Lepisosteus oculatus: one gene and its partner. Each later gene encodes a partner of the first gene's protein in a complex. Links are inferred from orthologs where the notes say so. Each region holds a gene or a part of one and is shown in the gene's direction. Other genes may lie near its edges.

Region 1 (7,592 bases):
TCGATGCCAATGGGCATAAACATGTTGAGATCGATCCAGATGGTGAAGAAGTTCTCCGTCTTCCTGTAGCACAGCCAGTGCACCAGGCTGGGCTTGTCAATCCTGGCTTCCAGCCGGTTTCCCAGGTTTCCTGGCACTGTGCAGTGGTAAGAGGTCACAGGTCAGAATGCTTTACATGCCTCCTTTCAATTTATTCCCCTATTTTTGGAGTGAGTTACTGTAAATGATTCATCGTGATTCTCGTTCCCAGTTTTTCCCTTGTGTCTAACTTTAAAAAAGAATGCAAGGACAGAGGGTGATCACAACTAAAGGAGGTTAACTCCCATCTTATTTGTTGGACTTAAAGTAGAACTGTGTGACTGAGTCTTATCCAGATGTATCCTAGGGAGCCAGTTAGGAGGGACAGGTGGTAAATCTCTGAGCAAAAAAGTATCTTCTACTTTCAGTCTAAATAGGTCCATCATCTACTCTGAACTTCCTTACACAGATTTGTCCAAAAGTGCAACAGTATAGTACAGCATGCTGTATGAGACACCCCTGGCAAGCTGTGCTCACAGCTTATCAGTGCAAATGAAACCTGAACAGTCAAGTGTTAAAAATGCAGGCCGAAACCGGGGTCATGTCCAACTGATAGTATCTCCACTCTGAGAAAAGCTTTGACTACAGGTCTGTATAATAATAGTATCTTCAGAGGCTATTTTAGAAGCTGTTGTATAGTGCAGGATATTTGTTGTGGTGAATGATAAATGAAGTAGAAACAACCAATTCTCAGTCTGAGTTCACTATTCATAGAACACCCACTGGAATCGCAAAGATGCATACGATATTCCCTACTTTTCACAAAACACATGTTCCCAAAACAAAAACCTATTTCTGAAACCTAACAGCAGGCCTTTGTGTCATTATTTAACGCTCCTGACTGCATTAACAAACCAGCTGAAAGAGCACGGCTTTCGGTAGGTTTGAATGCATACTTTCGAAAAATGCTCCTGGAATACAAAAAGGCCGCCACTCCTCCGGAGACCCGGAACCCGACTGCCCTCCCTGACACTCACCTAGGATGAGAGGCGGGGTGCTGTTCGTCTGGGACTCTCTGGGCTCGACGCTGGGAGGAAAGATGACATTGAAGAGCCAGAATCCGGGCGAAGGCCGGGGGAAGACACCCAGAACCAGCAGCAGAAGCAGAGGCGACACAGAGGTGCGGCGGCCCATGATTCTCTCTCTCGCTGCTGCGCTGATGAGCCTCTGCAGCTGTCTTATCAGGGCCAATGGAGAAAAAGGCTGCGAGGGCAGAGTCTCTGGCAGAAGCTCTCCCACGCTGGAAGCCCAGTGTACGCACTCAGCACCCTGTAGGCCAGTGGAATGCTCCAGTCAGATCTCACCACCACCTGAATACTGATGAGACTCCGGCTTTAGACATCGTTGACAAATCACAAGCTTTTTATCTGAGCTCTGGCTAGAGTAAACAATTTCTATGCAATGTTTTACACCGAGGGGCAAGCCTAGCCTTTCAGAGGAGGACAGTGGGCCAAAAAGGAATCACTCTGTGCTAGAAATCTTCTGCCTGGGATGGGCAAGTCCAGACTTTAAGGGTTACAGATGCTTCTCGCAATAATTTGACCTCATCTCTCAATTACTCCTCTCAGCTTTTTTATTTGGTTAAAAAATAAAAAAGTATTTTATTTATTTCAAATAAAACAGGTATTTTATTAGGTATTTTTGGTATTAAATACTTATTTTATACAAGCTGTTATTTTGCTCCATTCTGACATTATTCAATTAACTCTGAATGTTGTTTTAATGCAGTCACTCAGAACAATGCTATCTTGTCTCAAGTTGAAGAAATGCGCTCCAGGTTTACTGGTGAATTACTGGAATATTGAATTGAATATATATGTAACTGCTAATTGTGTGGCCCGGTGGACTTGAATGTGGTAAAGAGCTTGTTGAGTCATTACAATGTGAGTTCAACCTCTTGATCAGAGTGGCCTCCGCTACAGTGTTATAGTCCCTTTCAATCCTGGGGGAGCCAGGGATCCCATTGCCACCATGAGTGGCAGGTTAGGAGGAGCAACAGTGCACTTACCCCAGCAAGACTCAGTTTGAAGGAAGAAGCAGTGTGTGTATTTGGACCCTGTACTTGAACTGTCATCACTTGAGCCTCAATTGCACAGTCCAGACCAGACAAGTGACATAACTCTTACAGTAAGAGACCTATTACACACGGCACCACTGAAGTCCAGCGTCCTGTACGAGAGCCGGGTATCTATGGCTGCACCGCAGGACCAATTGTGTCAACATTGCAGTTCTATTATTGTCTGCAAATTGATGCAATAAGGTGCAAATCCTGAGCCTATGATGAAAATGTTGTTGACTGAAGTGCCAGACAGTGTGAGGACTGTGTCAGAGTTTAGTCATTTGCCTTGAAATCAAATCAAGACTGGCTGATATGTCATCAGCGGCCTTGTTTTGTTACCATTGTTTGTGAAAGGATAGGATATCAAATCCAATCCTCTGCATCTGCTTAAAGATCCCAGCCACTGTTCCTCTGTCGGGTAAGTTACTCAGGCATGAGCAAGCATTGTTTGCAACCAGATACGCTTCTGGAATAGAAAGCTACTGTCTGTTTTGATTTAGCTTGCACTTACAAGTTGTGTCCTATACTGAATCAGAGAAGTTCTTCTACAGGGGAAGTTCCCTAAGAATATGTTTCTTTTCTGTCTGATGGATTGGTGAACAGAAACATTATCTAATTCACCTATGAACTATTGATCCCCTAACCAGCTAAACAGTTGATGTGTACTATATGAACATTGTGAAACATTAACAGCAGTCACACAGAGATTGCAAGTGCAGACCTGTTTTGTAATACAGATGGAAAAAGGTAGAAAGTTCAAATTTCCCCAAAATACAGGCAGCTGCATACTTTCAAACTGTTATCCATTTCAATTCATTGGATTATTCCCTATCTGTAGAAGACAACTTTTTATTTTCATGCAGAACAATAGGTTACTTTAGTAAATATTTGGAAATCTGATGTCTTCGTACCAAATATTTCACTATCTTTATTTGCTGGCAGACACTCGGCACCCAGGGTAATTTGCAATGTAGTTATCCAATGATTACATAGTGTGGAACATTGCAGACTCTGGTAACATTGGTCAAACAACCTTTGCACATAGAACTCTCCAACACTGATGGGACATGAGTGGTCTATGTGGTGATCCTGACTTTGAGAGTTTTAACAAAGTTACAACCGCTAACTGCTTTATCGAGTCCAGGGTGGTGGGGGAGACGGAGCCAATCCCAGCAAGCAACTGGCCCACAGCGTGATACACCCTGGATGAGAGAGACCAGTCCATCACAGAAAAGCACTCCTGTTTAAACCCCACTTCTAGTGAACCATGAATCCCATGTGAGATTGTCTGCGTTCCAGGACAATGATCAAAACTATCAGTTCATATACTGTAGGTGAGACCAGTCCTTTGAAGCAATTCTGGCGACCTCTAGTTGTATGACTGTGTCACTACAGACTTTTCAATGGACAACCTTCGTAAGTGAACTACTCCAGGAGAGTATTTCCCCATTGATTTTATAAGTATGCACATGTGTAGTTGTCCAATCCTCCCGCCTGTTCCTGGGCTCAGTTTTCCTCTGAAGGCGTAAATGTGATACAAAGTGGGTGACTGTTTAATATTCAAGAGAAATCCATCCATCCATTTTCTAACCACTTCAGCCCATACAGGGTCAGAAGGGAGCCGGAGACTATCTCAGCAAACAACAGGCATGAGGCAGGATACACCCTGGACAGGACACCAGTCTATCGCAGGGCACACACGGATACAACCACGCACACAAACACTCTCACCAGGGCCAAATCTTCCCTGAAACCAATTCACCTACCAGCATGTCTTTGGACTGAAGGGGGAAATCAGAGCACCTGGAATTGACCCACACAATCGTAGGGGAGCACAGACTCCACACAGAGAGCACCCCGGGTCCAGAATGGAACCCAGGGCCACAGCAATACGATCCACTGCGCCGACGTGACAACCGAGGGAGCTACATTTGAAACGTATATGGTCTGGTCTGGTCTAGTCTAGTCTGGTTTTTATTTCTGGTGAGAATCTGGTTTCCGGAATCCGCACTCAACAGATCAATGTTTTTAGCATTTAGATTGTTTTCATGAGTTCCCCCCCAAGCAATTGCTGTTTCCAAAAGGTGGGGGTTAATTAATTAATAGAAGATTTCTAGAACTTGAGATCATCAAGTCTTAGAATACTTTCTGCTTTTTAAGGGTCGGGGCTCGGTCAGGTATTTAAGAGCGTAGCCTGTACATGAAGATACAGAAGATAAAAGGAAGATGTGGCCTTATTTTTTTTGTTGTTATTTGGTAATTGTTTTTCACGTGCAAAATCGAAAATGAAACCGTAGGAGTCCTTTAAGATCTATATCTTCAAGTAGCACTAGTCAGATGTAGAAAATGTCCGCGCTTTTCAATAGTTCAAACCAGGAGAAACCCGCAGCTCGTCTCCTCACGCTGCTTACGCAAGGGGCGGGGCCACGGAACAGCGTGATCCAGCGCTGCCGTGGCCATGGAGACGGTCGTAAACGGGACGGTCGTTCAGAGGTACTGTGATGGGGAATGGTGCGATTAATCTTTTATTTCAATATCTACATGTTTAAAAATGAAACAAGGGGTAAAAAACAATCAGTGACAGTAGAATGTACCTGTTGATTATGCGGCTGAGTAAATAAACAATGTGATTTATGAAAACAGGGGTTAGAAGTTTCAGAAACTGTTTATAAACTATAGTTAAACTATCGTATACTAAACCGTAAATAAATTATGAAACCGGATAAACTATTTAGTTTTGTATACTGAACGGAAAATGGTCGAGCTTCCTTAAATATTTAGCAGCTGCAGTAAGGATATATTTACACTGTTCTGTGGCACGACGTAAACTTGTAATTGTTAAATGTATTTAACATAAAATGTCAAGGTGTACTGTGTTACACTGTTTTCTCTTGGTAATTACAGTAGATAATTTAATTCTGTGCCTTCTGTTTCAATAAGCACAAGGCACACAATAAGCACAAGGAATCCTCCTTAACAGGAGGAATCTGATGCCTCCTACTGTATATATTTATAGATATATTTAGGGTAATTCAAATAAAGAATGGATAGAACAATTATATGATTATATGATTATAAAGAATAGTAAAACAAAAATATGATGTAATTGATATTGATAGACATTTTGTTGCCAGCAACTACTGCTATAATATAATAATAATAATAATAATAATAATAATAATAATAATAATAACTGCACGCTGTATTATTGTGCATTTGATAAATAAACTCTGATTGATTGATAGTTCTGTCCCTTTGAAGACAGGGTGAGAGGTGATCCTGTGGAGTTCAGGTTGTCCTCCTCTTTCTCATTTTCAGTCCTGTAAGAAATGGAGACGCTGCCAGAGGAGCAGTTGTCTGAGGCTGGAGAGTGGAAGGGGGAGGAGGAGGCAGGGGATGAAGATCTGAATACAGAGCTGCAGGATCTGGAGGAGACACTGTCCAAAATACACATCACTACCCCTGCCAGCCCGCAGTGAGTACAAACCTCATGTCAACATTACTGTACTTACTTTATTGTCCCAAATGGGAAATTTGCTTTGCAAGCAGGTAACTGACATAACACAGTACGCAATACATTTAACACAACATGGACCCATTCACAAATAAGACATACATGTACCATAAGAAAATAAATATGTATCTAAAAGTAAAATGTACAGTTAATTATCCAAATTGAGCAGGTTAACAGCTGTGGGAGTAAAACAATGACATTGTTCTATTGCTTTTGAATCTGGGTAATCTGGGTCTTGAATCAATGATTGTATCATTGTCATTGCTTGATGTAGAAGTCTGGAAGCTGTAGTTCTAGTTGCCCACAATGAGTAGATATGTCCTTTAGCCCACAGTAAGTACAGCTTTTCATGATGTTTAGTTTTTTCTAGTGGATGCTAGACAGAAGTCTTCTTGAACTTCAAAGATTTCTTCCTGAACTTCAGTGGGCTCCTATGTCTTGTGTTTCACACTGATTGAGCCTTTGACATTCAATATATGGGTGTGCAGTGTGTGCACACAATAATGACTATAATAATAATGACTGACTTGTCCATCTTTTCAGACCAGTGACTAAGTCGTCCATAGATCTCTCTGAATTCCCCTCCTCGTACAAGGAGAACTCCTCCCAGGAGAAGCTGCTGCTGGCCATTGCTGATAATTTCCGCTCTCAATATGCTCACCTGTATCCTGACCGCAAACCTCTGTTCCTGAATCCCCTCAATGAGTGTGGGGTTGAGGTACGTGTGCTAGGCAGGACTTTTGGGTCAGGAAATGGATGAGGTAGAGGAGGTGACTCTTGTACAGAACTTGCAATTGCATGAAAACTGTATTGCTCTTCTACATCTCGTATGGCACAGATATTGATTATGTCCTGCCAGGAGCCTAATTTTGCTCAGTAGCTGCTTAGCCTCAACCAAATCTTCTCACTGTCAGGGTGCAGAACAGCCACAGGTTTGGTGCATCTTTGGGATGGTCAGTAAAAAAACCTGAATGCTACTAAATTACATTAAAACTACAGAACTGTTTGATAGCCTGAGTACAACAGTGAGCAGCAGTTCCCCTCATTGCCACTGGTGCTGAGCACTTGTATAAGCTTTGGATTGTAAGGTTGTCTTCTTGTACTGGGCACTGAGCTTCTTTATTTGTGTAGGATATCAAGGTTGCCTTTTTAAAGAAATGGTGAGTCTTACAAGAGGTTACAAATGAGTGAAGTCTATTCTCTTACTCACTTTTTGTCTCTTGTTCCCTGCACAGAAGTTTGTGAGCACCACGCTGCGCCCAACACTGCTGTCCTACCCTGAACTGTACAGCTGGGGTGGCTGTGCGTGTTTTGTATCTGAGTATCTCTCTGTCGAGCCTCTGGATCCCCCTGTAGATCTGGTAAGTCAAGGCAACAGCACCGAAAAATACAACTAGAATCCGTAGTGGGAGAAAATAGGTCATCTGACCACTATAGCATGGCTGGCTATGTTAATTGTTTTTTATAAATTGTGCCTGTGACGGACTGCATTTGGAATTTGAATGTTTAATCTCGGGTATGACTGCCTACTCTACCAATCTTAATCCTCCTCAGCCCCAGTGCCTTCGTTCTCCTACCTGGGTGCTGAAGTGCCAGCGTGGGACCTGCTTCGAGTTCGCAAACCTGCTATGCTCCCTGCTGCTTGGGGCGGGCTATGATGCATACTGCGTCAGCGGCTACGCAGCGAAGGAGCTCTGTCTGCTGGACCAGACACACCAGCAGTGCCCCCTGCTGGTGAACCAGGAGAAGGTGAGCATTTAGGCAATGGAAAAAAACAGACTTCCCTGCACCTGCTGTGTGTTGGAACTGACTCCTTTTTACAATAATGCAGGCAAATGGGGGTGAGATCATGGATCTATTTAAAAGACTGAAGTCTGCTCTTTGAGAGTAACAAAGAATCAAAGGAAAAGTCTTAGGGAACCTAAGTGGCACCTAAGGTTT
Region 2 (6,978 bases), on another chromosome or scaffold:
CCCATTTTGTTAATTACAAATGGTGAATATGCAATGCTTACAGGGCTCCCTGATCCTTCTGAGATTCAATCCCGTCATTCATGGGAGCTGAAAACGTACAGCGCCACTCCCTAGACAGCAGATTATTCCTCAAAAAACAGAAAGAGTTATACACTTAGCTTTCAGAGGGGGTTGAAATCACTTCTGTAACTGGTCAGTGCATGGGCCCTGTGACAAAAACACATTTTTCAACTGAAACTGGTGGCGCACTGGGTAGCATTGTTGCCTCGCAGCGCTGGCTGGGTTCAATTCTGGACCTGGGGTGCTATAAGAAAGGAGTCTGCATGCTCTCCCTGTGCTTCTTTAGTGTGCTCCAGTTTTCTCCCACAGCTCAAAGGCATACTGGTAGTTTAATTGGCCTCTGTAAAACAACTGGCCCTAGTGTGAGTCTGTGTCTCAGACTGTGCGTGGGCCTGTCCTGGACTGGAATCCTGTGAAGGGTGTACCGTGCCTTGTGCCCTTGGCTCCCCTACAACCCTGAATTGGATGATGTGGTTAGAAGATGGACGGCTGTTTTTAATCAAAACCTAAATGCTCAAACTGTTCAAACCTTTGCAAGGCACTGTACGTTCATATCAGTCAATTATTTCCTGTTTAACACAATAACTTTAAAACATACAACTATTTTATGGTGTGGGCAAATAGACAGAGACCTGAAATAAGGATCTGAGAATCACGATGACTTGAGAAAATGGAGTTGAGCCATTGTTTCCATTCGTCAGTGTCCCTTGGGGAGAGTTATACCATCCACCTTTGTGTGCTGTCTAACACTTTACCCTGGCAACCAGAGGGAGGGTGATTTTGGAATCAGTATGTTTCCTGCCGCGGTGGGATGAAATTCTCTGTGCTCCTAGCCAGCAACAAAGCAAATGAGGAGTCTCACTGCAGGAATACTTACTTAATCGACCAGCCAGCAGCTCAACCACCTGTCACAAGACCCAAATTTAGCAGTGTGGGCATGCATAGCTATCAGTAGACGGTGCAGTTTTATCACGTTCTAGTTATCAGGAAGATAATGTTGTATGATCTTCAGGAGAATCAAATCTCATATGTGCATTTGTGGAAAAAAAAAGATTTGGAGAAAGAAGCTGGATCCTTAAGTCTATGAGACGGAGTGGTGTTCCAAGCTGGTTAACTTTTTTATGTTCTGGTGTATACTTCAGTAGTGGTGGAATAAAAGATGAGATGCCTGCCACCACTGTACATTAGAGTTTCTTCCAATTTCACACTGTGGCGTCATACATTTCCCCTTGGTTGGCTTCATATATCTAAGATCTCCTCATCTTTGTTATTGAAAAATTGTGATTGAGAAACAAAGTTGTCTTTTCATTTGGATTTTAAAAAACAAAAACAACCTAATTGTGTACCAAAACCCCTCAATTCAATTTCACTCCTGTCTCAACTTTGAGGAGAAACAAGATCTGCATCATAAATTAACATTCGCACAGAAAATAAAAAACGTAAGAGATGTAGAAATGAAAGACATTTTTCCATTTCAATTAAACCTCGTAAGCCACTCATCGCTGATAAATCGATCTTTCAGTACTATACCGTGTTTGCTATAGTACAAATATCAATTAAAATAACTTATAGCAAAAGTATTACAGTTTATTAAGTTAACTCAAAAGACAGACAAGTGTGAATTTGTGATTATGTCATGTTATTTGTTGATTCTGTGAACATCCCTTCCCCTGCAGTGCAGAACAATGTACAGCTCAGAGACCAGTGTTCAGTCTATGTCTGTCTGGAGCTGAGGAGTCAGATGTCTCCAAGACACTGTCAAGCATTCTCAGCACATAGAATAGACAGCTGCTCTCTTCCCTGTGAGTGTGAAGACAAATAAAGGAGAGAGCGCTGAAAAAAATTATAAATATGAAATAATTCTCTGCTGACAGAAATGTCCAAAGTGCTGTACAAAGACAAGATCATATATTAATCATTAAAAATCAATTAAATGAAGATACATTTCAATACCCAGCACTTCTAGTTCTAGAAATTAAATAAAACTTTCTTCAGCACGCAGTAGAATTGAACCTCCACACACAGCTTGGAGTCAGGAGTCTGACATTGTTAATTAATCCCTGCCTTACTTAAGGAACAGGAGGCACAAGTCATTACGTGTTACCCAGGGGTGACTGTCTTAACAGACCGTATGATCTGCCATGGAAATTGTGCACAATGCTGAACAAGGGATCAATGTAGATTAGTCTGTAAAACATTACTGAAACTGTTTACTTAATAACAACTAAATGTTTGTCAGTAAATGCTACAATTTAATGATGAAGTTAATAAATGTGTCTAAAAATATACAGACAGCTGTCATGTAGTACTTATGTCTACATATTCAAAGATCTAAAAAAAATCTATTCTTTTAAGGTGGTATCTTTCCTGTTAATTGTTTTCCAATTTCCTTGTTATGATTATTCCCCCCAAATTCTCTTTTCTATTTATAATCTTGTTTTTCCCCTTAACTAAAATACAAAAAACATGTCTGAAAATCTCTGGAGCTGTGAAGTGGAAGCACTGCATTGCACAACGTTTTAAAAACCCATGAAGCACTTTTCAGTAAAGTACATTACAGCATTATGGTCACCTTTTGAAAACAGAAAACATTATTGTATGCATAGACATGTCATAAAAAAAATGTATTAATCTTTCCCACCTACCAAGCACAAGTCTAAAATAATTAAACTGTCACATTTTTACATTTTGATTTTTTTTTACTTTAAAACACTATGTAAATATCATACACCATTCTAAAACATTTCAATTATATTATGATTTTATCAGAGAGCACTAAACGATGTTGCAGTTTATTTCTTTATTTGAGTAAATTAAATAATAATACTGTATATGTACTGTATATAAGGGTTGCCTAGTGGAAATGTTCCTGCGATAAACATTGGTGCTGTACCTTGAGCTTGTGCGTTACCCCGTTTGCTCCAGTCTTTCCAGCTGTGCGAATGGAAACTTCCATTGCTCTGCAGGGGACTGGCGTTCCCCTCCAGAAGGCGAGGAAGTCTTTCCTGGTTGTTTAATGTCGCGGAAAAAAGCTTTATCTCTGGCCACTAATGAGCCGTTGTGGAAATAACCTACGGAAAATAGAATGTAGAATTTGATCAAAGCTTATTTCTAGTTTCTCTTTGGCCATGGGTTTAATGAAATATTTTAAAAGTATTATGCATTTTATTGTTTTTATGATCATTAAAAAAGTTATGAAATCTTTGTGTTGTTGGACCATAAATTTGCATTTGTAAAGCAAAAAGTAATGCTACAACAAAACAAAAACTTTTTAGAATGTGAAATAATCTGACTTTAGGATATTTAGCTAAATAAATATATTTATAAATATATTTAGTTTTTTATGTAATTTATTTCTACTACTTTATATATGCGTAGTAAAGTTATTAGTAACCGTTTAAACGCTATGTCGATGTGAATGCAGTATGTCACATTTTAATATTTTTTTTTACTTCAAAACACTACACTTTATATATCATAAACCATTTTAAAACATTTCAGTTGTATTATGATTTTATTAGAGTGCACTAAACGATGTTACAGTGGTACACGCTCTGAGGGTTCGAGACAAGCCAGCTTTCAGAAGGCAAATCTAAAAAATGAAGCACAGGCATGTTAGCACAATTAACATATCTTTCAAGTTCATAAATATATAAAGTATTACATTTTCATGTATTCTTACTTGACAGTAAAAATAAACTGGATAATGTAAACATGTCTAACTAAATTATAATTTAAAATAATATGTATTTCATTCTATAGTTATGTGATAACTACCCTACTTCAATTTTTTTTTAATAATGGGAGCAGGCTGAACTAAAGGTTAGAAACCACAACTTTCGGTTTGTATGACAGTGCGTCGGTGTTGTAGCCAATCACTAACTGGTTCCGGGTTACCAAGGGTCAAGCGTTACCATGGATACAGTAAATAAACAAGACAGAAGAAGTACCAGTAAGGTATGTTTGGAGGGATATCTAAATAATGTAATTTGTGTCAGGGTGCATAGAACAAGTTTCCTTCTTATTTGTGTTATGGGTATTGCAAACATGTTTTTGCAATATGTTTTTTCCATTGTAAAATGTCATATTTACATACTTAGGAGACATTTCATCTCGTGTAAACCGACACCATCGAATTATATTATAGACACAATGTTAAGGGGCTGTGTTTTAGACACTATAGTGTGCTAAGTTTTGTGCTCTTCCTGAGGGTCACTGGGAAAATACAAAAATAACAATAATAATGTAGAATTGCTGAAAGTTATGGAGAAATAGGATAAAGGCATGGAGGAATAGTTTTGCCCCAGTGTTCTTATAATGTATAATTTAAGGTGTTTATCTATAGTGGATTTGGATTTTGGATTATTAGTCTGACATATAATTGTTTCTAATGCAGTCAATAAAAAACAGAATAAAAACACCACTTAAAGATGGGACAGAATGTTGCCTTTTTGACTACTCAAGACTGTTTGTTTAGGTGATCAATAAGATTCAACTGTGTCATCATCAACTCAACTTGCTGGTCTGCCATTCTACTCCATTGTTAATTCAGCCTGCTGTTTTCATCTTTTGAAGATGGCAGCTGAAGGGAGCTTTTAACAACATAAACAACACTATTGTCTTGAAGGGCATAAACTGTGTTGATCCTCATAGATATTTCAAATGGAGAGTGAAAACGTAATTAACGCAGGTTTGCAATTAACATGAGGCTGTCCTTTTCCTACAGGGATTTGATTTATGCTTAAAATCAATCAAACAGTATAGTGGAATTGATCAGTTAGGATCCTTCAGGATTTACTTAGAAAAATGTTCTTGGTACTTTACTTAGCTTTTAGCCAGTAAGCCTGTAAAGAGTTGTTTTTATGCTGTTTGGAGTTTTGATGCAGAGATGGTATTATGGAAAAATGAGTGTATCGCTTTCGTTTGTCTCCTCTTTCTTTTCAGAAGACAGGATTGTAAACATCTAGGGCATACAGGAAGATGCCGGATATCATGGACATCCAAAGCAAGGCAGCAGCCAGTCCTGGCACAAAGCCACGCATTTATCCGCCAGTGGCCAAACTCAATCCTGTTGCTGACCCACGGAAAATGAGAAGGATCATTGCGGAGGACCCAGAATGGTCTCTAGCTGTAGTTCCCCTTCTTAAAAACCTGTGCCTACAACATATCGTTAAAAACTTCCATAGTAGGTTCTTTTTGCCTTTATCACATTTTTATGATGATATTGTAGAGCATGTATGTGAGTGTGGCTTTCAAGTGAAAGCATGTGAAGCCAAGAGCCTTCTGGAATTAACATATCAGGTTTTTTAAAGTCTTATTAAACAATGGCAATATTCAGACTTCAGAAACAGTTTTTTAAGAATATATTTAGAGACTGGAAATCCAAAGAAAAAGGATGGAAAAAGGAAAAAGGTTTTAGATTTTGAAGTAGTTCAGGTGAGTAGCTGCGTCAGCATGCGTAGGCTGCAAAGGAACAAGTAATAGGTTTATTCCATGTGGAAGAAGGCTTGGACACCTGAAGAAGGCTCCACGGCCGAAATGTTGTGTTTTCTTTCTTCTTTTTCTCAGCATGGAATAAACCTATTACTTGTTCCTTTAGATTTTAAATGCATGCTTTACATGTGTTAACACATGTGTTAACCACTTGTTTGTTAACAGCAAAATCAAAGTGCAAAGACGTGTTAGAATGTGGAGTCTTCGGGGCACATTGTATTCTAGAGCTACAGTATGATAAAGTCCTGACTAGCTTTACTCCTGTTTTCTAAACAAATCTTGTATTCCCCAGATGACTTCTGGTCTGATTCTCATTTTACTCCCTAATTGAGAAGGATAAATTCAAATTACATGTCATTGCTTTTATAGATTGTATGACTAAAACAGAAAGAAAAAAATAGAAGCACTTAATCTAAATTTAACCAGTTGTAAAATGTTAAAGCTCTCAAAAACCTTTAATGATCAATTACTACCAAAATGTATAGGTGTGGCAGTAATGAGTTTTTAAATATGTCAGAAACCATTCACTTTTAGTTTTGAACACCAAAATAAAATTTCGTACATCTTTTTTCTGCATGATTTAACATGATAAAATATACATTGAGAATGAAGATCATGATGTGTTTGTGCCCCCAGTGAATCATACCATTTCATAAGACCTTTTAGCAGGTTTCTGTATGTCACAATTCATGACACATAATATTGAACTGGTGAGCCCCAAAGTAATTTCATTTCAGTTAGAACTTGACGCCATTTCTTCAATCAAGATTAAGTGTAAAGTCTGTTCTGCTCTGAAGCATGCTCTTGAGTGAGGCTTAATGAAAGTCAGTGATGAAACTGTCTGATTAACCACAGAAAAGACATTTTAAATACAAGACACAGTGCGTGTTAGGAATACTAAAATTTATTAAGTTCCAGTATGAAAACCCTGTAGTGCTCTTGATCCAACACTGACACTGTGGGGATACAAATTACCTCCATTCTCTCATGGACACTTGTTATTTATTTGAAGGAGTAGTTTCTATTATGTATATTTCCTTTAAAGTACTGTGAAGCAATACTATGACTACATCGTTACCTTCCCAGCTGCAAAAAATCAACTCTTAAATCACACAAAACACATTAAATTGAATATTAAGGAAATAAAACAACATATTACATTAAACAGAGTATATTTTTTCAGAATTTAACATATTGGTCTATAGGCAAATACCTCAGACATTCCAGAGATCTGCCCTTTCTTTATCTCTTTAAAATAAATCTGTATTAATGGATGGTATTTGTTTAAGGATGGAACTTTGTATTTCATTACTGTTTGTAATTAATTAAACAATATATAGAATTAATAACTATTAGTATAAGAAATATCTGAATTTTATTTTTTAATTACTATCAATGTATGAATGTATTCAATGCTAATTTATT

The links. The genes of interacting proteins can lie anywhere in the genome.
Region 2: ccdc135 (region 1) and tcte1 share a complex: the UniProt entries of both Homo sapiens proteins name them as parts of the nexin-dynein regulatory complex. The link is inferred for Lepisosteus oculatus from reciprocal best matches to the Homo sapiens genes DRC7 and DRC5.

What each region holds. Positions count from the first base shown.
Region 1 is NC_090715.1:11,489,695-11,497,286, forward strand, and holds the start of ccdc135 (dynein regulatory complex subunit 7), read left to right. Parts: upstream 1-4,572; 5' UTR 4,573-4,630; exon of another isoform or gene 4,631-4,648; intron 4,649-5,455; 5' UTR 5,456-5,466; coding exon 5,467-5,612; intron 5,613-6,194; coding exon 6,195-6,369; intron 6,370-6,886; coding exon 6,887-7,012; intron 7,013-7,205; coding exon 7,206-7,400; intron 7,401-7,592. Other genes in the region: lcat (phosphatidylcholine-sterol acyltransferase), read right to left, coding at 1-136, 1,056-1,212. UniProt on the Homo sapiens protein: Component of the nexin-dynein regulatory complex (N-DRC) a key regulator of ciliary/flagellar motility which maintains the alignment and integrity of the distal axoneme and regulates microtubule sliding in motile axonemes.
Region 2 is NC_090697.1:43,242,812-43,249,789, forward strand, and holds the start of tcte1 (dynein regulatory complex subunit 5), read left to right. Parts: upstream 1-3,970; 5' UTR 3,971-4,017; intron 4,018-5,004; 5' UTR 5,005-5,040; coding exon 5,041-5,245; intron 5,246-6,978. UniProt on the Homo sapiens protein: Component of the nexin-dynein regulatory complex (N-DRC) a key regulator of ciliary/flagellar motility which maintains the alignment and integrity of the distal axoneme and regulates microtubule sliding in motile axonemes.